2 linked regions of the Alligator mississippiensis genome follow. The protein of the gene in region 1 binds, or shares a complex with, the protein of each later gene. Links are inferred from orthologs where the notes say so. Each region holds a gene or a part of one and is shown in the gene's direction. Other genes may lie near its edges. The genes, in order: LZTS1 and ASB7.

Evidence for each region.
Region 2: the proteins of LZTS1 (region 1) and ASB7 are in contact, whole or in part, in a crystal structure (PDB 8Y1U), measured with the Homo sapiens proteins. The link is inferred for Alligator mississippiensis from reciprocal best matches to the Homo sapiens genes LZTS1 and ASB7. Residues at the interface, in NP_001349813.1 of Homo sapiens: Arg346, Glu348, Leu349, Leu352, Met353, Glu355, Gln356, Leu358, Leu359, Glu360, Lys362, Leu363, Arg364, Ser365, Tyr366; in NP_937886.1 of Homo sapiens: Asn46, Trp48, Ala56, Ile79, Phe82, Tyr87, Met90, His91, Asp116, Trp118, Val123, His126, Tyr127, Ser147, Lys149, Thr151, Gln155, Leu156, Ile159, Arg160, Phe182, Arg185, Tyr186, Ile189, Lys190, Arg210, Leu220, Leu223.

Annotation. Positions count from the first base shown.
Region 1 is NC_081830.1:19,625,069-19,636,393, forward strand, and holds the start of LZTS1 (leucine zipper putative tumor suppressor 1), read left to right. Parts: upstream 1-6,861; 5' UTR 6,862-6,983; intron 6,984-8,736; exon of another isoform or gene 8,737-8,826; intron 8,827-10,270; exon of another isoform or gene 10,271-10,580; intron 10,581-10,781; exon of another isoform or gene 10,782-10,853; intron 10,854-11,325. UniProt on the Homo sapiens protein: Involved in the regulation of cell growth. May stabilize the active CDC2-cyclin B1 complex and thereby contribute to the regulation of the cell cycle and the prevention of uncontrolled cell proliferation. May act as a tumor suppressor.
Region 2 is NC_081834.1:7,360,679-7,372,768, reverse strand, and holds the start of ASB7 (ankyrin repeat and SOCS box protein 7), read left to right. Parts: upstream 1-7,326; 5' UTR 7,327-7,485; intron 7,486-7,879; 5' UTR 7,880-7,954; intron 7,955-12,090. UniProt on the Homo sapiens protein: Probable substrate-recognition component of a SCF-like ECS (Elongin-Cullin-SOCS-box protein) E3 ubiquitin-protein ligase complex which mediates the ubiquitination and subsequent proteasomal degradation of target proteins.

The DNA of each region.
Region 1 (11,325 bases):
CTGGTAACATCACTAAGCAACCTGCCTGTCTTGCTAACAACTACTCAGACTGATATCACGAACCAGCACAGAGAATAATTCATTAACTTAGACCTGGTTAGCAGCTCTACTGGGATGAAAGAAAGCCCACAGCATTTAGATCCAAGTATGAACATTGCCATATTTGATACTTTAGGATGTAATTCGGGCCTACCTCTTCTACAGCACCAGACAAAGAAGAAGTCTGTTGCCAACTAGCTGGCAACATGGAAAATCACTGATGGATGCGCCGGTCTCACTAGTTCTCATGAGAATGCGGATGCCAAGTCCATAAGCAAGACAGAAATTTGCACCTGGTGTTCATAAACTGACTTTTCTGTGGCCCAAATCTTTCCACCAGAGTCCAGTGGTTGCAAGTACCTGCCCCCAAATGCAAACATCAGGGGTTCTTCATTGACTAATGCCAGGTGGGAACCAGACTTTGCAGGCAGCTCCTCCTGGGGACCTACCCTCAAAGACACCCCACACCACACAGTGTCTCTAAGCTTGTAGGGCTGCAGAGTCTTGGGCCCCTGTGCACATCACCCGTATATGAGAAGAAGCCATGTGTGTGATCCAGACCCTTCCAGCTGACTGCTCATTTTGGGAGCATGGGGGCGCTGGGCCGAGTTGAACAACCCACACTCAATTTTCCTGCAGGATCCTCAGAATGAAAACTGACAGCTTTTAACTAGCATAAGCTATTCATTTTCTCCTACTGCACAGATGGGGTAAGAACACTTGCACTGAAAAAAACCTCTCCCTTTTCAAGTCACCTCTCCTTTCCTTCCCAGGTTCTGTCTCCTCATTTCTTTCCATCACACAACTTCCACTGGCACCTGTCCTCTTCCACCCTCTCCCTTGGGAGTGGTTGCCCCCTCGGCCTTCCCCTGCCCTTTTCTGCTTTGCTTTTGTCTCCACAGACCTCCCCACCCAGGCAAAAAGCATCACAGCCAGGTTTGCCACACCACAGCATGCCTGCTGGGAAGCTGAATCGCAGCCTGCTTTTCCTGTTGCTTCTTCTTGATTTGCAAGGGAAATAGCTAGCGACATTTGGGGGGGGTTGAAGCAAGCAGAACATGTGCAGGCAAAGGCTCTCCTGCCCACTGGAGCTGACAAACGCCCACCCTTGGAATTATCTAAGGGGAGAACACAGTCTGTCTTTGACAGCATCTGTCCCTCCCTTGCCAGTATGAAGCATGAGGGCTGGGTCTCCTCCAGGCTGTCTGGGCCACAGCAAGAGCTAGAGATCTTCATTAGAAGTGCAGAATACTCCAAGCTGCACTGCCACCACCCTGAGTGCCAGCTCCCTATATAGAGGCCTCTTGCAGGCGCAGTGATGTGTGTGGGCGGCCGTAATTAGGAGCTTTGATGAGCCCCTTTCACCAGAGAGCTTCACAAAGCAGACAAAATAATACTAGGGTTGCGGGGAGGAGGGAAAGAAAACTACAGTTAAATAAAACCCTCTTGTCAGAAGAGGGAGCCTCCTGTCTCCCCGCTTACACTAGTCTGGATCTGTAAGGACCCAAATCTATGAGCAGATGGTGGATGTTATATGTCCATTGCGAATTAAGGAACCAGACTGATTCAGACCAGAGCTGTACCAGGCCCAGTGGCCAGTTCTGGTGCTGCAGAGGTAGGTCCAAGAATAGTGGGCTACAGTGAGATGGTTGGCCAGAGTGAAACTTTCTTCCTGGCCCATCACTTACAGGCTGGAACTGCCATAAAATATTATGTCAGAAGAGGGTTTAGAAGGATGCTCTCACCATTAAAGCTCTGGACCTGGACTCAGAAGACTGGGGGTCTGTTCCTGATTCTCCCACAAATCTGATCTGCCACCTCAAGCCAGCAGCTCAGGCTATGTGTGGTGTAGGAGCACTATCCCAGTTCAAGAATAACAGCATTGCACTTTTGGGAAGGGCGCTGCTAAACCAGCGCAGCTGGGCTTTGGGCCAGTTTCCTAACATCATCCCACACAAATGAAACCAGCTGTATTGGCACAAGTGCAGCTTTTCCAATGCACTTTTGTCTACCCTAGGAGCTGGCAGAGGTATGCTGAGTCAGGGAGAATGCATCTCCACATGGGTGACTGATGCATGTGCTGTCAGGAGTTTGCAGCCTATAATGCCCTTCCTCTCTGTGTCCTAGTAACCCCCCTGTAAGCAGGAGATGATAACATTTAGTCCCATTTTGGAGACAGACCTCAACACCTCATCACCAGCTCCTTCCTGCCTCTCTTTTCTTTTCCACCTTTCTGTCCTTTTACAATGCATTTGCTTTCACAAGTTCTGGGAGAAGGCCAAATTGGCACCTGCTGCCTCTCCGAGAAGTGCCCTTGCCCTGTCAGCAGTACAGCCTTGGTTTAACTCCTACTCCATGTTGTGCTCTTTCTAGCAGCCTCTCACTATGGATGCAGGAGACAAGAGCTCCCCAGCCTATGAGTAGCTTAATTAAAAGCCCATTGTAACCCCTCCTTCCAACAATTCTTTCTCAGGGACTGTACTGGAGAGGACAAGGAGCGCGTTCAGTCCTTGCACTCACTGCAGTAGATGCATCTGAGTACCCTACCCTTGTAACAGCGATGGATCTGTTCCTAAGCTGGCATAGTGGTGAGAGTCAGGGAAACCCCTACTAGAGATATATATGATTGCTTTTAGGGGAGTCATTTTTAAAAACCTTTAAAAAAACCCCATGCCTCTACTGGTAGGAATTTAACCATCACTGAAAACCCAGAGGCAGAAACCCTTGTTTGTGTGCACAAACCCTAGATGCAAAACAAGGTGCTCCATGGCTCTGTTCAGCTCTGCTCAGCTGGAAGAGTTTCCCCAGAGATGGAGCCTCTAGCATCTGCCAAAAACTTCTGTGTAGAGGAAAGAAGAGTCATGGGCGTTTACGCTGAAGTCTTTAATACAGCAGATCCCTTTGTGAGTCTTATTGCTGTTATTCTCCAGGGCTCTTTTGCCCTGGGAAACTTTCCAGGTGACTTTGAAAGATGAGGTAATACCAGATAGTGTGACTCGCTTGAGAAGGCAAGGATAGGAGACAAGTTCTGACTTGAGCGGGATGAACGAATTGGTAGCTTTGAGCTCTATCTCCAGACAGGATTCATTTCAAGGGACAAGAGTGTGATAAGAGTCAAAGACAGAATTAGCCATTGAGCCTTTCTAACAATGCAAACCACAGGCCAATGACTCTGGGGCTACTTTACCCTTCCTTAGTGCTGGGAAAGGGATGGGGAATTGCCTTCAGGAAATACTGTGATGTGTCACCAGAATGGCTGTGCGTCACATCTATAATTCTAGCCAGGCAAAAGAGCAGAGACACTCAGGAGTCAGAGAGGCAGTGTGGGCAAAGAGCTGCTGTTCATCCACTGGGTGGCAGCCAGAAAGAGTCTGGGGTACCCCAACTGTGAGTTAAAGCAGTTCTGAGGTTGCTCTAACTCATGCCAGGAGCCAGGCTGCAGGGCTCTGTCCTTTCAGAGTTTTGTCTACCATTGGTTTCTAATCAAGTCCAAATGGGGGCTGGGGTGGCGCAGGCGCAAGTTCAAGGCCACAGCAGAAGTGGTCATGGTGCGGTCGTGTCCGATTCCAGCCGATCTGTGAATCCTGCTAAATACCTTGTCACAAAGACACGAAAAAGGAAAGGAAAGCTCCAACTGATGCAACGGTGCAAGTGCAGTTTAGGCCACTGGTGCCCTGTCAAACTTGGAGCAATTTCTGAAATGTTAGTGACTTGACCACCGACCCAGCTGGCATGAGACGTTTCTTGGTTTTGGGTTCTAGTATTGTTTTCTGCTTGTTCTGGGAATATTAAATTCCACTCAACTGGAAATCAATCATAATGCGCCCCCCATCCTGCTCACTCCCTCCTCTGCGCTCACATTAATATACTTCCCCCCTCCCTTCAGTTTTAGGTCCTAAAATAGCAAATTCCAGCTCAATGTTTTCAAGGCAAGCAGGCAGCACACATGGCATTGTGGGAATATTGCACAAATCAGCAGAGAGGCTGAATGAGCTGCCAGAAAGCAGTATCAGTCTGTGGGAACGCTTTGAGTCAAAGCATTGAGGCTTGACAGCAAGGGACATGAGTGATGGCCTTTATTCCTCCTTGCCACATCTTCTGTGTTACTATTTACACCTTGGCAAAGCTGCTGGAAAATGCTGCCCCTGGTGTGGAGGAAAAGGAGGGGTTCTGATCCGGTAGCTTTTTTTTTGCACCTGTTTTGCATTAATGTAAGGCAAGGGAGAATCAGGTTTCTGCTCCTCGAGGTTTCATTTCCCCTATATTCATGCAACACGTGCAGGACTCCCAAAGCCATTGCTTGGTGCTCGGTAGGCCAAACCTGGAACAGATTCCAGAGAACCTGCTAGGTTTTTCCAAACTCCTGGCTAGGAATTTAGCAGGAAAGAGCGATAAAGCAGTATACCTGGCTTTCGAAAAGAGGTGAGCACTGCCTGCAGCATGGCTTGTCTTTGGTTAGCCAAGGACAAGCCCTATGTTAATCTCTGGCACTGATGAACTGTATTTCCTGCATTCCTAGGCATGGCAGTGGCACAGCCCCACCTCCCCTTTTTCACCCTGCTGTGTTGAGGCCATCTACAGGTTCTGCCACTAGCATACGTGTGTGCGTGCACATGTGTGTGTGTACACATTTACAGAGCCTAAGACAGCACTCTGGAGCTAACCAGGGCCAAGCATCAGAGACAAACTCCTAGCACACAGCAGCTTTGGATAATATTAGGCTTGTACAGCTGGTTTGCTCATTGGGTCCTTCTGGTGCTACAACTCCTCGAGGTACCTGCTGTGCCAGAGGTACTGTGAAGAGATGAGATGTGCTTTGCTTTACTGTGGCAGGGGGCAAAACTCAGTGCAAGGGCAGCTGATGTGTTGGACTGGCTCCAAAACTCACTGAAGTCAGGGCTGACTCTGGCCCGTACTTCAGGGCCTCGTGACCCTCCTACAAGAAGGATCCGAGGGAGGAGCTGAAGAAGTGGAGGCTGATCACTCTCGTGAACTTTGACTATAAGCTGCTGGGCAAAGTCTTGGCTGAGTGATTTAAATCCATCCTAGGCACAGTCATCCACAAGGACCAGTTGTGCAGGGTGCCAGGGCGTCAGATCCATGGGGCCCTGGTGCACCTGAGAGATGCGCTCCAGCTGGAGAGGGAGAGGGCAGAGCATCACCGTCCTAAACCTGGACCTGAAGAAGGCCTATGACAGTGTCCCACCGGTTCCTGTTCCAGATGCTGGAGCAGATGGGAGTCCCCCCAACCTTCGTCAGCTGGATCAAGACCCTCAACACAGAAGTGAGCAGTGAAGTGCAGATCAACTGTTTCCTGAGAGTCCCTGGGGGTCTCTGTTCCCCGTGAAGGGGTCAGGATCCTCGGGATAGATTTCAACCCTGATCTGAGCGGCAGGACAGCGTGGGAGAAGACAGAGGCAAAGTTAAAGCAGAGACTGGGGCTTTGGCACATGCGCTCCCTTTCCAAGGAGGGGGGCACACCGCACTTGTGAAGGCGGCTTTGCGGCCAATGCTTCTGTATACCACATTGGTCTCCCCCGCTTCCGAGCGTGTTGCCCGCAGGATCCAGAGAACCGTGTGCATTTTCTTCTGGGGCTCCAGATGGGAAAAGGTCACCAGGAAGACCATGCACAAGGACAAGAGGGCCAGGGGCAGGGGCATGCCAGACATCCTCCTGTTCCTGCTGGCCAAGTATACGAGCCAGATCTGCAAGCTGGCGAATCCAAAACCACTTGCCTGGTGAGATATTTTGCAGGGTACATCCTGAGACACTGGGGGTGTTCACCCCTACTAACCACAAGCCGTGGATCATGGGTGCACTGTGGTTTTACGAGATCCTAAATCAGTCCCCCAGCTTGTATGGCCTGCAGAGTGCAACCATGAACAACCACAAGAAGATCCAGGAGACAGTGAGGTTGAGGGACACCACATCGCCCATGGACCTGCTCCCATGCAACATGTGCCAGGTCTTGTGGGAGCACATCAACCACAAGGACCTGTGCAAAGACCACAAGGACTGGTCAGTGAGGGCTTGGAGACAGAGAGAGAGAGGGTCAGCTGGGGAGACCCAGCTGCCTGTGGCTGAACTGCCACAGAGCCACCGAGACGATTGCTCTGGCTCTGCACCTGTGCCAAAGGGGTATGGAAAAGGATGAAGCAGCTCTGTGAAGCAGTGACCAGCAACAACTGGCTAACCAGAGAATCGGCACTGTATGGGCACCCACAGAGACATGTGGCATAGGATCTTCCAACTCCCCACTAGCAGAGAAGGGGGTGGTGACAGTGAGGAAGAGACCAGTTGAACTGAGGGCAGTGACAGCAGCAGCAGGTCCTCATGACAGAGACACAGACAACAAGTGAACTGAGTATGTGACCCCGCAAGCGGGGTGCAGGAGAAAAGAAAAGGGTGGCCTGGTCTGAGAGACCAGAAGTTGTTTGTGTGTGTAGCATGCGATGCAGATATTGTAATGGGGCCGGGTGGCCAGCAGGCCTTTGTACAAGTGCATGGGCTGCGCATAGGCAGTTTTGGTAATGGGTTACGGTTTTCTTTTCGGGGTGATACTCGGAGTGTAGCTATATATACCCTCATATATATACAGACATGTTTTTACTAAAAAAACCCCCAAAAATCCCTTCCTCCTGGGCTGCAGGTGTGCAGTCAAGGTGGGGAGAGAGCCCTCCCACTGCATACCTGGCTGAGAGTCAGGCAGTTTGCCGTGCACGGTACAAGTCCAGATGTGCTGCAGGCTACCCAGCACATTCCACCAGGCTAAGTCAGCTTATCAACTACAAACAGGTCGGCTCCATAGGAGGGGGAAGAAGGGAGGGAACTCATCTTACTGTGCGTGGGAGAGACAGACATACTAGACCAGCACAGTGCTCCCTGCGTGGAAGCAGCTATCCTGGCAAAGCTGCATACTGGTACCCTCCTCACCGTGCTCCAGGTAAGCAAGGCTGGCAAAACCACCATCTGGCCAGTACAACAGCATCTTCACTTAGGGCGAAACCTGTCGTGTAGGATGGTTGAAATCCCGGTGATGTAGCCAAGCTGCTCGGAGCTGCTGCCTGCATCTCTGCAGCAGTGTGCCATTCAGTAATGAAAAGCGAGGGCAGGAGGGGTCAGGAGGCTGAGCTTGCCCAGACAAAGGGAGAAAAGAGCTGCATTAGCTAAGCGGGTAGGTGAACTGCTGAACACACCCACCCATTACGCTGCAGCATTTCAGCTCCAGAACAGACAGGGCTAATTACTGCTTGGGGCACTCACCTTGCTGAATAGCAAATTCCAGAGTTGCTCACAACCCTGAACACCCTCCCACGCGCACACATCACCAGCAGGTATGTATACATGGCAGGCACTGCAGCGGGGTTAAGAGCTGCCTAAGAAAGCTTTAAACTAGCCGACACAGGTAGCCGTAGTGGGCCCCTGTAGTGCAGGTCTCAGTGCAAAAGCACTTGACTGTGCTTTTCAGGTGAGTTTGGCAGGACACCTCGAGCTTGGTGCTGCTATTGCTAGACTGCCTGTGTGAGCTAGTTTAACACTAGCTAGACCACAGTGCAAACACAGATATCGTTGTGCACACATACAACAGGCATGAACACACATGTTATCAAACACCCCCAAATGAGAGTGCTTAACACGGTATCTTATGCATGTCAGACTGACTGGACTCTCAGCACTAGAGAGCAGTGACGGTCACTCCCCTGCGTGTCTCCCTGCACATCTGTACAGCACCTAGTGCACGGGACAGCCTTGTTCTTTGTTGAGACTTCAGATGCTGTTGTCATATGATATCATTGTGCGCCTCGGGCTCCCTTCCCCGCATAAAGGAAAGAACCATAACATCCCACTTGATTTATCGGCAGGAGGTGACCTACCATCAGGTCACCCGACCGTCCTCCTTGGCTGATTTTTGTGCCTGCCAGCAGACACCAAAGTGAGAATTTTTTTTCTTGCTGTGCAGGTTTTTGGAGGGATTTAACCCCTTGGGGGCAGGCACCCACCCCCAAATAACCTACCATCAGGTCACCCGACTGTCCTACTCGGCTGATTTTTATGCCTGCTGTAAGACAACGAAGTGAGAATTTTTCTTGCTGTGACGGTTTTTGGAGAGATTTAATCCCTTGGGGAAAGGCGCACACCTCCAAACAGCCTACCATCAGGTCACCCGACTGTCCTACTTGTCCTGCCTGTCCTACTCGGCTGATTTTGGTCCCTGCCATTGACACCAAAGTGAGAAATGTTCTTGCTGTGCAGATTTTTGGAGGGATTTAACCCTTTGGGAACAGGCACCCCCCCCCCCCCAAATAAGCAGAGGGGACAGGTCGCTCGCCTAAAACCCATACTCCCGGTCGGACAGTACAAGGGCCAGGACCCGGCTGGCTTTGCTAGGAGGGTGCTGTGCCACTCTGCAAGGTTTGGGGCTGCGGGTGCTGTGAAGCAGGGATGCTCCGAAGCCTGGAAGGTGCCCGCATGGGGGCCAAACCTCTTCTTTACTTCCCCGGGCATCTTTGCAGCTCCCCCGAGATGCTCTCCAGTCCCCAGGCTCTCGGGGGGAGGGGGGGGGGGGGCTGCTGCAGCCGCCAGGGCCCCGGCGGGGGACACGGGCGCTCGCAGCTGTCACCCCGCACAAAGCCCGCGGCGGGGCTGCGGCGAGCCAATGAGCGGGTCCGCGGCGCCGGCCCCACCTCCCGGCCGCGATGGAGCGGCGCTGCCCGGGCCGGGGCCGGGGCCGGAGCCGCAGCCGGAGCCGCAGCACGGAGCGCCCCCACGCCCGGGCCGGGCCACAGGTAGCTCCGGGCCGGGCTCCGCGGGGCGGGGCGGGGCGGGGCGGGCGGAGGGGGTCACACCGCCAGCCTTTTTTTTTGCAGCAGCAGCAGCAGGGATGTGCCATCCCCGTGCACGCGCAACACACCAGGGACGCGGAACATGCACTGCACACGTGTGTGAGGTCCGTGCACACGCAACACACCACGGACACGGAACATGCCCTGCACACGTGTGTGAGGTCCGTGCACACGCAACACACCACGGACACGGAACATGCCCTGCACACGTGTGTGAGGTCCGTGCACACGCAACACACCACGGACACGGAACATGCACTGCACACGTGTGTGCTGTCTGTGCACATGCAACGCACCAGGGACGCGGACACGCAGTGCACACGTGTGTGAGGTCCGTGCACACACAACGCACTCGGGACGCAGAACACACACTTGTGATGTCCGTGTACACGCAACACACCGGGGACGCAGAACACGCAGTGCATATGCATGTGATGTCCGTGCACACGTAACACACCACGGGTGTGGAACATGCAGTGCACATGCAACACACCAGGGACACGGACACGCAGTGCACACATGTGTGCTGTCCATGCACACACAACACACTAGGGACGCAGAACGCACACTTGTGATGTCCGTGTACACGCAACACACCGGGGACGCAGCACATGCAGTGCACATGCGTGTGATGTCTGTGTACACGCAACACACCATGGACATGGAACGTACACTGCATACATGTGTGCTGTCTGTGCACACGCAACACACCAGGGACTGACACACAGTGCACATGCGTGTGATGTCTGTGCACACACAACACACTAGCGATGCAGAACACGCAGTGAGCACACGTGTGCTATCCATGTACACCCAACACACCAGGGACGTGGAACATGCAGTGTGTGCTGTCTGTTTACACTCAACACACCAGGGACATGGAATGTGCAATGCGTTCATGTGCTCCCTGTACCCACCCTGCGCATGCAACATGCCCTGGAGGTGGCACATGCAATGCACGCAGGTGTTCCCCGTGCACACGCAGCACACTAGGGGCACGGCACATGTGCTCCCTGTGCACACCACCTGCACACACAGTACACCATGGACATGGCACATTCAATGCATGCATGTGCTCTCCACTCACACACGGCCTGCACATGCAGCACACCATGGGCATGGCACACGCCGCATGCACATGTGGTCCCCCCATACATACCTGGCACGTGTAACACACCACGGATGTTGCACATGCAATGCACACATGTTCTTCCTGTGCACACACTGCCAACACATGCAACACACCAGGGGCACAGCACATGCAGCACACACATGTATGCCCTCTGCACACAATACACACCCCTTGACCACCCCCATGGCATGCCGGGTGTATAACAACACATGCCACATGCTTTTGGTCCATGAGCGTCTCCTGTGCAGCATTATGTCAGTGTGGTGCCAAGCACACAGTGCCTTCAGATCACAGCACACGCGGCTCAGGCACAAAGAGAGGCAGAGACTACAAAAAAGCCAGGTGTGGCTCTCGCCCAATACGAAATCATTAGCTGCGCACTGCCCAGAAGAGGTCTGAAAGCAAAGAGCACCGTCTAGTGCTGATTCCTCAGTGCGATCTGCCCCATGGGAACAGCCAGAAGATCTGAATCCCAGCATCCCTGGCTCGGCTTCTTCCTTCTCTTTGCTCTTAAGTTTTGGGAACTTCCTCATGGAGAAAATCCTGCCTGTTGAAGCACCTCCAGGTTTGTTTGGTTCAGGTAGCATGAAGGGGAGCTACACAGCGCTCTGCTTTACCTTGGATGGGTGTCCATACCCTGTCTAAGAGCAAGCCATGCAGTAAGACTTCTCATTTTGTTCTTCCCGGCTCAGTGCTGCACTCAAGAAAAGGATTCATTTCTTGCATAAGAAATGATTTGCTGGCAGAGTGCACGCATGTGTTGAGAGTTGGAGGCAGTGAGTGGGCGGGTAGCACGGGTATGCGAGTGCACAGCGTGAAGAAGCAAGCCTGTGAGGAGGTGAGGGATTGTGGCTTGTTTCCGTGTATGTACATGCACGGGTCCATGTGTGTTGGGGCAGTGTAAGACAGGGGAAGAGCTGGGGTTTGTTGCTGTAGATGTTTGGATTTCTGTTTGTCAGTGTGAGTGTGGTGGTAAGGGTATCCGTGTGCCTGGATGTGTTGTTGTGTGCGCCTCTGCTTGTACGGTGTCTCTTAGGGGTATGTGAGAAGCCAGGCGGGTGAGGATATGGATGCTTGGGTTACAGGGATGTCTTTATGTGGGGGTCTAGAAGAGATACAGAAAGTAGGTAGACTTTTGTATTCATAATCATGTGCCTTTAAATATAAGAGCTAGAGGGTATTATTGTTATCATGTTAGTGTGTGCATGTGCGTGTTTATCTTGTTATTGCTATCTTGGTATTTGCACAGGTGTGTGTGTGCAACTAAGTGTTATTGTTACTATTTTAGTATTTATTTGTGCATGTGTTGT
Region 2 (12,090 bases), on another chromosome or scaffold:
GTTTACCTGGAGAAAATGCACACAACTTTCCTTTCAAAGTTATATTAAATGAGAGTTCAATATGCATAAGAGCTTGTTTTGACTAAACAGACACCTTTCCATACTTTCACAGCTCTAGACATACCAGCAACTAGCCTGCTTGTTTTTTACAGCCATTCCATATACTAACGGCATTTTTAGATAGCTAAAGGCCTTAAAAAAGAAAACAAGGTGTTCACACTTCACTGAATTAGAGAACAATAAAGATTCCAGTCCTGTAAATGAGTTCTACCGAAATCAGTGCGACTCTGAACCAGCAGCCAGATTTGTCTATACAAGTGATTCTCAACCAGGGTCCCACAACATTCTTAAGGGTGCAACACAATATTTATACTGTTAAGTGTGCAAACACCTACAGAGGGTTCACAAGATAAGTCCTGAGACTTCAAATAGGGCCTCAGACCATCAAAAACATTCTGACCTGTTGTGATCTGAGGTTTTTTGCAATAGTGGAATTCAGGATCAAATGAACCTCTCTTGCACAGGGGCTCAAGTGGAACACCGTGCCCACAATGGAGGGCAAAAATGAGCCCTTAATACAATTAAAAGGGACAAAACAGAGATGTTAGATATCTCCATTTTCAAAACTGGTCTGTAATTGAGTATCCTGAGACCAAAAGTTTGCTTTTGAGATGTGCTGAGCACCCAACAGTCCCATTGAAATGGATGGAAACTGTAGATACTTGCTGCTTTAGGACATCAGGCTTGTCAAAAATCACCAGATGAGCTACCCAAAATGATGTCATGTCTACAAAGCTGGGTCTAAAAGCCTGCACATATTCCCAAATATATATATGAAAGCCACTTCAGTGGGAAACCAAAACATGTTTTAACCATACAAACTGCTTCCTGTCCTCGCAGTGGCAAGGCATGGATAATGCTCTGCTCCCCCTGCTTTAAATGGGGCAAGTTAAAGGATGTTTTTGCCGTTTAAGGTATTGCGCACATTTGTGGATAAGGGTTGTTTTAGCGAGATTAAATCAGGGGGCAGCAATGTTTTGGGGCAAAGTGCCAAAAACATCCACAGTCTTGACTTGTAAGATGTTGGCATGGCATGGGTGGACAGTGGGAGAGCCGCAAAGGGCCTGATCCTTGCTGTGGCAGCATAGCCCTGGTCCCTTCCTGAAGTGCCAGGCAAACTGACAACCAAAATGCCTGTGCGCACCCCACTCTGGCACGCATGCTGGGGCTTACCTAGCCTTGGGTTACACAAACACTAACTTGCCTAGGATGGTTCAGAGTAGGGGGTTGGATTAAGTGATCCCCTGAGGTCCCTTCCAATCCTACTTTCTATAATTTTTGGATAAAAAGATGCTTCATTGAATTTGTTATTGAAGATATGTTTTAAGTATCATATTTTCTTGCATGAAATACAAACCCAAATAAAACATGCACCTTGCTTTTGGATGGCCAACTTTGTGACATCAAGTCCTCCTACAAACAGAGTGTCTCAGGAAGTATGGCACCCCAGAAGACAGCCTAGGTGAGGCTGCAGACAGCAGGAACTCACCCAGGAGGACTTACTGTCACACAAAGTTAGGCCCCAGGCAGTTCCTATAAACACAGTGCTGTTTCCACACCATAAGCCTCATCAGGATACTACAACAGCTTACTCTCTGGTTCAGGCATGAACTACAGTGCACAGCTAATAGCTACAGCTGTGAGAGGGTTCGCACAGGTGCCCCTTTAGTTTGCTGATCCAGACAAACAACAATCATCTTGGTAGATGCATGGCATGCACAGTGTTTCCAGGCTTCCTTCTTTACCAGCAAAAAAATAAATAAAAAGAACAGCTTCCCTGCTTAATAGATCCCAGTTTGGAGGGGGAACGACACTGATTTTGGGGGCAGGTATATGTTATATACAAGAAAACACAGCAGTACCCCAATGATTTAATATGCTTACAGAAAGAAGGTACTAAACATTTAATGGTGTGGACAGACATAATGCTTAGCATGTTCTACATACACTTTAAGACCCCAGAGTCTACATGTGCACAACATTTAAGATGGGTGTAAGCTTTCCTAAATGTTTTAAAAGCACACCAAGGATACCAAGTCCTGTTTTAAGCTGGTCCTCATGAACCAGCATGTTCGAGTCCAGACACAGAGAACTTCATGCTTAGTGTGTGGTCAGTCCTTCAGGCAACCCCAGCTGTACCACCACTCCTCTCCACCCCCAAACACATGCAGGGCAAGGGGATGCTCTGGACTGCATGTAGGACTACTGCCTATAGAGACCACAGCCTGCAAGGGTGGGGAAGCAGGAAGCCTCTGTCATTTGGCTCATCTGGGGCATGGGGTGGGGAGTCTGTATCACACCCTGCTTATAGTTCTAATGGGGGCTGGCTGCCCCGCCCCCCCATCCCCAAGAACTGCAGCTTTTCAACCTCTGCCCTGAAAACTAATTTCACCAATTTCATTTCCCTGCATGGACCCTGTGTTGCAGGTCCCAGATTAATTTGGAGTGGGGGGTGAGAATGAAGAGGCTGCCACGTGGTTGGGGGAAGCTGTAAACCCTGCTTGTGGTACCCAGGAGGCTGGGTACTCTAGGGGCTCCCCAATATCTTTGCTTTTTTATTTTGGCAAGACTCGCACTGGAAAGTCAATGTCACTTCCCTGCACAGACCTTGTGCTGTAGCTCGCAGGTCCATTTGGGGCATGGGTTGAATAGAAAGATTACAAGATGCTAAGGGGGGCAGGAGTGACCCCTGCTTGTGGTGCCCAGGGGGCAACATGCTCCAGCCCCACCTCAAAAATCTCCTTTTTTAACTTCATTGCAAAGCATTTTGTTGATTCATTTCCCTGCAGGACCCCGTGCTGTGAACCTCAGGCTCATCGGAGGCAGAGGGTAGTGGAGGGGTTGCCAGGTGTGCAGCCCCCCTGCTTGTGGTTCTGAGGGGGCTGGGTGCTCCAGGACCACCCCTTCCCCAGCCAAGAACTCTGCTACTTTTTCAACCCCTGCCCTGGAAAGCCACCTTGTTGGTTTTACCTCTTTATGGACCCTGGGCACCACAGCCCCAAACCTGCCTGGCACCACAAGCAAGGGGCCACACAGTCATCCCCACTTTCCCCTGCCTAGCACTTGGTGGGATTGGAAAGGTAGCCACCACCCCAAAAGAACTCCAGGCCTGCAGCTGCAGGGTCCATAATGGGAAGGTAAAAATGACAAAATAGCTTTTTCGACAGGCATTGAAAAGGCACAGAGTCCTGGGAAACATGAGCAGGGGGAGCACAAAGCTCCCCCTACCCCCCCAGCAACCCCCCCCCCAAAATCAATCTGGAACCTTGCAGCATGGGAAGGGGAAATTACCAGAATGCTTTCCATAGCAGGCAAAAGGGGAGATCCTGGATTGGGCAAGTGTGCCCACCCTCCCCCCCCCCCCCCAAGCACCAAAAGCAAGGGTCACTTAGCCCCCGCATCAACACCTAGCAACCCTTTCACTCATTTCCCCCCTCCTCCCCACCCCAAAAGGAGCAAGGGACCCAGTAGCTTCAGGGCTTCTATGCCCTGGAAGGTGAAACAGCTTTCAGATAAGGGGCTAAAAAACTACCAAGTTCTTGGGAGGAATCCCTTGAAAAACCCACCAGGAACTATGAGCAAGAGGGTCACACTGGTGCCACATTACCTGGTAACCCTTCCACCCTGCACCAGCCTCCAGCCCTATACGAGTCAGGGACCCCACCAAGTGGTGTCTAGGCTTTTCTCTCCCTCTCCACACACCTGCAATCCCTAAAAGGTTCTATGCAGAGCCCTCCCCTTCAGCAGTGTAGGTGCAGGCACCTCTGTCCAGGGACAACCATGAACCAATTTGCAACCCATGACATTTTTGGAACAGTCCAATTGTCATGTTAGTCCACACGCTTAAGGTCAGAGAAGCTATTCTTTCCAAGCAGCTCTAGGTAGTCACGCTGCTATGCAACAACACCAACACCTTTATGCCATAATTACAACTACTCCTGTTTAACAGCAATCTATGCCATAGTGATTTCCAGGTTTGCAATACTCAAAACTGCAGGGCTGTCTGCTTAAAAAGAACTCTTCTTCTATGGAGCATGTTTAGAGCTTGCCTTTTAAATCTGAGACAGCCAGCCAGGTACAGTCCTAGACTGATCATTTTATTACTGGTAGCAAGTACTTACTAGTTGGGAAAGAGATAATCAGTTTCTTTTTCCCAGTTTCTCCTTTTTTATTCTTATCTCATAAAAAAAGGGAGCAGTCTCTAACAATTCCCTGAACATCTATCCGTTATATATACAAGTACATAGCAGCAAACAAAACAATGCAATTTACTTATCGTTAATCATGGCTTATTTTGACTGGTAGTCTAAAAGCGTGACAAATATTCTGCTGTACCACTCGGCATACGCAGTGAATTTTTTAGCCTATCATCTCTAAGCAGCTTCCAAAGTACTTCCCCTTCCTTTGTTGTATTATCCCTCAATCTGCCATTAAAATTGCCGTGTAACCTTGGAAAGTCATGTAACCTATTTATACATCGGTGTCCACTTTTGCACTGTGCATGTGCAGAAGCTGAGAGAGTCAAGTGACTTTCCAAGGTTACAGAGCAACTTAAATGACAAATTGAGGCATAGAACCCAGACTCCTGACTACCACAACCTGCCCATATTTTGTCTCAGACAGAATTGAAAATTGGATGATAAGGCAGTGTGTGCTATCAAAATGTGTACATTTGTCACACAGATTCTCACGTATTTTTTTGGAAAATATCATTCAGCGAGGTCTGACCTGTAGAAGCTAGAACTTTACCAAACCTTGGACATGATGACACTGGAATACCACATTATTTTGCTGTCTACATGTCCCATTTTCAACACAATTAGTCTAAAATATCAGATACTTCTATATTCAATTGCAGAATATACTTAGCATTCTATATGGAATAGAAATTATAATCTAAAACTTCATACAATTTCTTCAGAACTCAGCTTGTGGCTAAATTTATACAAAGTACTGTTCCCATCTTCAAGGTCTATTTCTACCTAAATGAATATACAACAGAATAAAATTACATTTCCGCACATTTACAAAGGGTTTGAATAAACACAACTGAATGACTGTTCTGCATGTGACACGAGTAGATCTCTTGTGTAATTTATACGATACAGGGATGCTGTTCGGGTGAAAGACTGAGAACTCCTCTAGGGCACGCACTAAGAAATTCTACCTTTGCAACAGGATATTGGCTGTGCTTTACCTGATCATATCTTAACACATGTAAGTGGCAGCATTAAGATAAAGAACGTTTTACAAATGCCTATAGCATGTCCCAAACAGGACAACAGTTCAGAAGGGAAAGAAAAGATAATAATTAAGAAAGAAGTGGCAGAGATTCTTTAAGAGGTGGGTATTAAGCATCTGAAAGAGGGAAGGTACCGGAGGATGAAGACAGATGGTTTCAGGATAGTAGCGGGGGAGGGTAGTACAAGATGGCATGAAGCCAAAGTGGGGAATAAAGAAGCAGTAGCATGACAGCAAAGCCATGTTAGGAACAATGTCTTTCAATTTTATCTATTATTTTTTGTATTTTGACAGGATCAAGGTTGGGAACCACTAAGCAGGGCAAGTCCAGCACTGTACCTAGGCAGCCCCTGTTGAACTTTTAGTATCGCCCCCACCCCCGCCTTTGCCAGAGATAATGATCATAATAACCAAAAAATTACCATTTTCGGGCTCCCTTCCTGCCTGGGTCCTGAGCCGCCCATACCAGTGACTGGCACTGGGCAAGTCTTACAATCCAAATGGACAAGACAGGTGACAGCACGACGTCAAATAGCACGTTAGTGCCATGATTTTTTTTTTCCATTATCCTTTAAAAACCAATAGCAAAAACTAATCATTGCACAGTGGGTAGGAGAAAGCCACTACCCTCCTTCCCCTTCTCCCTTCCTTAAAGGAAGAGGAAGGAAAAAAAGAGACACTGAAAGAGAAACAGGTACAAGGTTGCAGACAAAAGCCTTGGAGGGAAGTGGCTTGAAACTGTTCTCAGGAATATCATACACCAGGCAAAAGAAACTTAAACAGGGGGTCACTATAGGCAGTCCTCGACCTAAAACGTTTCAAGTAACAACGGGTGGCACTTATGACATTTATAAATGGACTTTCTGACGTCAGTTTTGACTTTATGACGCTTAATCCGACGTCACGCCAGCGAACAAGTTCGCTGCATCGCCCATCTCCCTGGAGAACATCTATCCACGCTTCCTTGGACGCTTTCCTTACGAAAGCAGACAAGACTCCAGAAAAACCTGCAGCCAGGACTCCTGAGAAGACCCCCCCCCTTCAAAAACACCCAACCGAGAGCCCGCCACAAACTCCAGCAAAGCCACCTCAAAGAAGTCTTTCCAAATCAGTATTGCTATTGACAACAGAAATACATTCACGCAGCTATGTTACACAACTATAATTGATCAAGTACAATATCCTGTATTATTCTGGGGGAAAATAAGAGTATCGGGCCTTGGTTCAGGAACCAATCCCCCCTTTATAACATGGTTTCCTTTGGGAAAATCAGTTCTGACTTACGACGTTTCGACTTGCCGCACCCGAGCACTGCCCGTACCCCCAAAACATCCCTGAAAAAGACTGGTCAAGTCCACGTACCTTTCCAAAAGGAGGACATTTCGCCTTATATCTGCACACAGAAATCCGCTTTTTTTATGAAGAATGGTGAAATTGTCCCGCACTGTTTCCTACATTCGAAAGAAACAGCCATGATCATTATTATTATGATTTTACATCACACAAAGCACTCAATCATTCCCACGTGCCCCGTTATTCCCTCAGTGAGAGACGTGGGGCTGGCAGGATCCAGCCCCTCCCCCGCAACCCAACCCCAAACTCTACATTTTTTAATATATTTTTTTTTTTTAAAGAAAATGTTTCTCGTTTCAAGCCAAATCAATTCCACCTCCGAGGCCCGAGGGAGCAGGAGCCAGGGCAGCCCTAGGACGCGCGAGCAGAGGTGGCAGGTGGAGGCCGCCCCCGCGACGGCCTCCAGGGACCCCCGCCCTCACCTGGCGCCTAGGCCGCGCCCGCGCACGGTTGCTAAGCAACACCCAACCGGGCGCAACAGGGCCCAATCCTCTCCCCGCGACCGCTCCGCCGCGACCGCCCCTTCCCCCGCGCTGTCGCGCAACCCCGCGGTGCTTTACGGCCCTGGGCGGAGCCGCCCGGCCGCCGCCAGCCAACCCGGCGCCGCGAGCCCTGACGGCGAGGGGCGGGGCCCCAGCGGCGGCTCCCCATTGGCTGTCGCGGGGGTCAGTCCCGGCCCGGTGACCCCGGAGTGAGGGGCGGGGGGGGGAGGCTCAGTGCAAAGTGTCCCCACAACCCCCCCCGCAACGGCTGGGTCTGCGGCTCCCCCCGGCCCTGCGCGCTGCCCGGGGGGGGAGCCGTCGGGGCCGGCGCCGCCTCACCGCATCGCAGGTAACGGCCGTTCGGCCCGCCCCCCCCCCGGGCTGTGAGGGAGACGCCCCCCCCTTACCCCTCCCCCACTCCGGTCTGCGCCCCCTCCCCCCCCCATGGTGCTGCCCCCTCCCCCCCCCCATGGTGCTGCTTCCTTCTCTCCCTTGAGCCCCTGTCCTGTTATGCCTCCATTGAGGGGGATCATGAAGGACCCCCCCACCCTCCCTCCCTCCGTCAGCATCTGTGAGCATCCCCCTTGCCCTGCTACGGCTGCCCTCTCCTTCCCCCTGTCCAAGGAGAGGCTGGTGCCTTCCCCTGCCTCGTCTCATGCCCCCCCCCCACCCCGAGGTGTCTCCGAGCTTTCCTTCCCCCGAACGCCCGCCGCCGAGCTCTCAGCGCTGCCCTTTCTCTGCAGGTGCGAGCTGCCTCGGCGGAGGAGCCCGGGAGCCCGAAGGGGATGGGAGACCCAGGAGCTGCGCTCGCTGCTAAGGTGATGGTCCGCTTTGCGTACGCAGCGGCGCAGGAGCCCGACCGGCCGGGGTCGGACGCCGTTCGCGTCAGGTTTGACTCGGTGATGTTAGCGTTTCTTCGTGCTCCAAAAACGGTCCGCTGTTCGGCTCGGAAAGGTCGACGACTTCCAAAGCAGCTGGGGGGAAATGCACTTGCTCCCCTCCCTCTCCGCCTCGCTCTGCGCTTCGCGTGTAACGCCCCACAGGTTATTCCTCGTGGTCTGCAGCGTCCAGGCCTTTTTGTGGCCTCCCCCTTTAGGGATTTCATAAATGATGTGCTACTGGTTATTCAGTGCCTCTCCATATCCGAAGTAAAAATTGAGAAATCACGTTCCTTTGCTCGATTCCCGCGCACATGCGCCAAAGACTTTGTCCATGATAATGGCAGCGATTCCCAAAGCCATAGCTGGACTAGGCCAGAGTAGCTGCATTCGTTTATTTATAGCTGTCTCTAATTTTTTATTTATGCCAAATTTGCATGCGCACAGGGTGTTGCGACTCGCTTGTGAAAACTGAATAACGGTTAATGAACGGTCTGTTTAGAAATGCGAACGTCTGTGTGTTAGCCCATGCAGATTTTATCACCGAAGGATCGAATATTGCTTGTTCGTCACAACGCGAGACTACCTATTTTTACGCAAAATGCAAAAATATTGTGTTGCCAACAAATCACAAATTTAGGTAAAATAGAGGATGGCAGTGGGAATAGGGAAGATTGCTTTAATCTGCGGGAAGGAGCTAGGTTCAAATTTTGACCTACCAGAAATAGTATCTGCTTAAACGCATGTCGTCATCATCATTTGCATTCGTTCCGATGGCGTAAGGCATCCCAACATAGACCTGGTTACAGTAGAGCCATCTCGCATATGAAGTATTCCCGTTGTTGGTTGGTCAGTTAGTTTCTACAGTGCGTTAATAGTATGTGGGACTTCACGGACAAAGAGCGACATCCCCTGCCTCAATTTACTTCTAATGTAAATAAAGAAGTTGTGTTGTGATTTGATGACTGGACAGCTATAAAGGTTAGGGGAAGAGTAGGGAAAGGGTGTGTTATAGCAATTAGATTGTGTAGTTGCTTTAGTCAGCAGTGTGTTTCTTGAGAATTCATGACTTTTAAGTAAATGCTGCTACTCTTGGGGCATGGCTAAGTTTTTTTTTTTTTTGGCTTCCTGAAATGGGAAAATGTGTCTTAAAGAGTGGGAAAGAGAGGACTGGGTAAAGAAGCAAGTTTATCATGAAAGATGAGGGAGGGAATAAGATGATGTTGATCAGTCTTCAAGCCCAGACCAGGTACCTTTGAAAATTTGAAGACGACAGGTGGAAAGAATCTCGCGTGTTGTGGCTCTCTTAGGATGGAGTTCTTATTTGTGACAATGTCAGTGTAATTGAACCCACTTCAAGAGCTGTGGTTGACAAGGTAGATGAGTCCAGACTTTTTTGCAATTCTCGAAAATGTACTTTGTCATCCGTGTTCTAAAATAGTACTAACAAGACTTAGTTACTAATGAAGGCTGTGCCAGAATTGTTTTGAGTCCTCTCTGCAGAGGAGGAGCTAGGCAGCACTTGTTGGTAACAACCTTGGTCAGCAATTGGCCGTTTTCCTAGTGCAGATGGATTTCTTAGTGTATGGTCAAAGGTAGTAGTTATATTTCAATAGCTAAAGAGAGAACTCCCCACTTACATTTAGAAAACAAATTTGTAAAAGTACAGTGAAGCAGCATAGGCACGTCGTCATTGTTTATAGTGTACTATTAAAATAGTACATTTACTGCCGTGGAAAATGGTGGCTGGATGTATTCACTGTGCCTGCGGGCCCGTCTGCATGAGGGATTGTTGTATGGATATGGCTACACTAGTCAAAACCCTAAAATAAATGTACCTCTTCAGTTCCAAATCAGGGCAAGAGTCATTTAAAAGACTTGCTTTAAATCCCATGCAAGTGAAGTGAAGGCTTAGTGCTGCACTCTGGAGGGAGTGCAGTACATTACAAGTATAGATCTTTCCTAGACAGAAGGGACTTCCAGTTTTACAGAGTTATTTGTACTTTGACCTGGGTTTTTTCTGTTTGCTTTGAAGCTATAGAAAAGCATCTTTTGCTTCTGATGGACTGTAAACCTTTTAAGAAAACTTCCTGACTGAGAGATTGCATCTTCTGTTGTAGAGACCATGGTATTAGCTTGCAGAATGGCATTATCAAAGTGAAAAACTGCTTTGATACATAAAGTCACCTGTTATACTGTTTCCACTCGGGATACTCTAAAATAAGAGCAAGAACAAACAGAAAAACATTACTTGATATATTTAGATGGAACCAATTATATGAATATAGCTTATTGTTATTCGGCCTCATCAGCTAAGAGAGAATATTGTAATTTGGCTTGAAGCATCCAGTTCTTCTCTGCTTTCTTCTCTTAATGTCATTGTTCAGATAGTTCAATGATAGTAAGTGATACAGTCATGTTGGTTCCACTGGAAATGACAAGAAACTTCAATTTGATTGTGAACTCTTTGAGATAGTCATACTCACGCACAATTTCCATACCAAGAATTTTCCTTGTTTAAGTAGTAGCTCAAAATAATCTATGTAACCTTATTTGGCCAACATAATACTTCTGTTAAATAAGAATTGCATCACTGTAACATAGAAGAGAGCGTGGCCCTTGGCACCTTTTGTCTAAGGATCTTAAGGAGTTTTAGGGTATGTCTACCCCAGGGTACCGGTGTGTGCAGGCCAGGCAGTTCTCAAGCATACCCCACCCATCTGCTCCCAGTTGCACACTCCAAATCCAGAAGTGTATTCGTGAAACCACTTGAGGATCATCTCCACTGGATGTCCCCAGCACCTTGATTTGTGGCATACTTGAAAATGGTCAGTGGGGGTCTGCCTGAAGCAGTTTGACAGATACAGGCAGGAGCAGATGGGTAGGGAGTGCTTAGGAACAGTCTGACAGGGTTATGTTGCTGCTATAGTGCAGATGTTCCCTCTGCAAGCCAGGTTCACCCTACAGACTCTCATGGCAGGCCTGAGGGATGAGTGTGCAGCTTCAGAAAGCTGCTATGACGTCCCTTGCACCAAATGAACTGGAAGGGCCCAGTGCAGTCCCAAACTAACTGTCTGGGAAGAGTTTATAGTGTATGACTTCCCTTAGTGTTTCTACTAATGGACTTCCCATCAGTGCTGATGACTTCCCTCAGGAGCTATGAGGGAAGTTAGCAAAAGGGGAGTTTCCTCCAGCTCTTCCCCAGTATGAGGGTATAATTTACTAATTCCTCCATAAATTAATCCTTATGCCACTTTTGAGATCTAGATAAATACATAGGTTTTGCTGAACTTGCCATTGAAATGCAGATACCTGTAGAGGGGAATAGCACAACAGCTGTTCAAGACTGTGTAGCAACACTCTGCCGCAGTTTAAGGTGAGGAAATGAAGAACACCATAGCCAATTAAAATTGCTGGGGAAATTTAAACAAGCAGAAAGTAATTAAAGGAGCTGGAATTTTTCAGGGCTGTGGGATGGCAGTAGTTCTGTTTCTTATGAAAAGTATTATGAGATGTTTAGTAACCTCCTGTGAGGATCTAGGGTTTTTCCTTGTCCTTACTTTGAAAGACAGCAGTGAAGTGCTCCTAATCACATCTTGATGGATTTTTTTCACTGTTCCTTGGGAACTATGCAAATAGATCACCAAGAAACATCTCCTTTCCAAGTACTTGACTGTCACCAAGCTTGTGATCCAACTGGATCATAGCACAGATTAACTGCCATAAGGTGCAAGTAGGATTATAATGTGTTGTCATCTCCTCCTTCTTTGCACCTCTGAAAATGGGGCCTGTTATTATGGCCATTGTAAGTGGCTGACATTTGCTGGCTCACTTCCGGTAATGATAAAAATGGGTCCTGAGAAGAGACTGTTGGACACACCTGCCACTATTTTCTGGTTTTTTTCTTTTTAAAGGGTTGTGGGATATTTAACTACCTCAGTTTAATATGGCATGCAGATGTACTTGGTGTCACATACAACAATATGACTTCCTTCTTGTTGTTGGCAATTAAATGCCAAGAAGTGCTCTACTACATGTCATGAACAAGACAGCGTGTCCCAGAGATGAGTGCTACC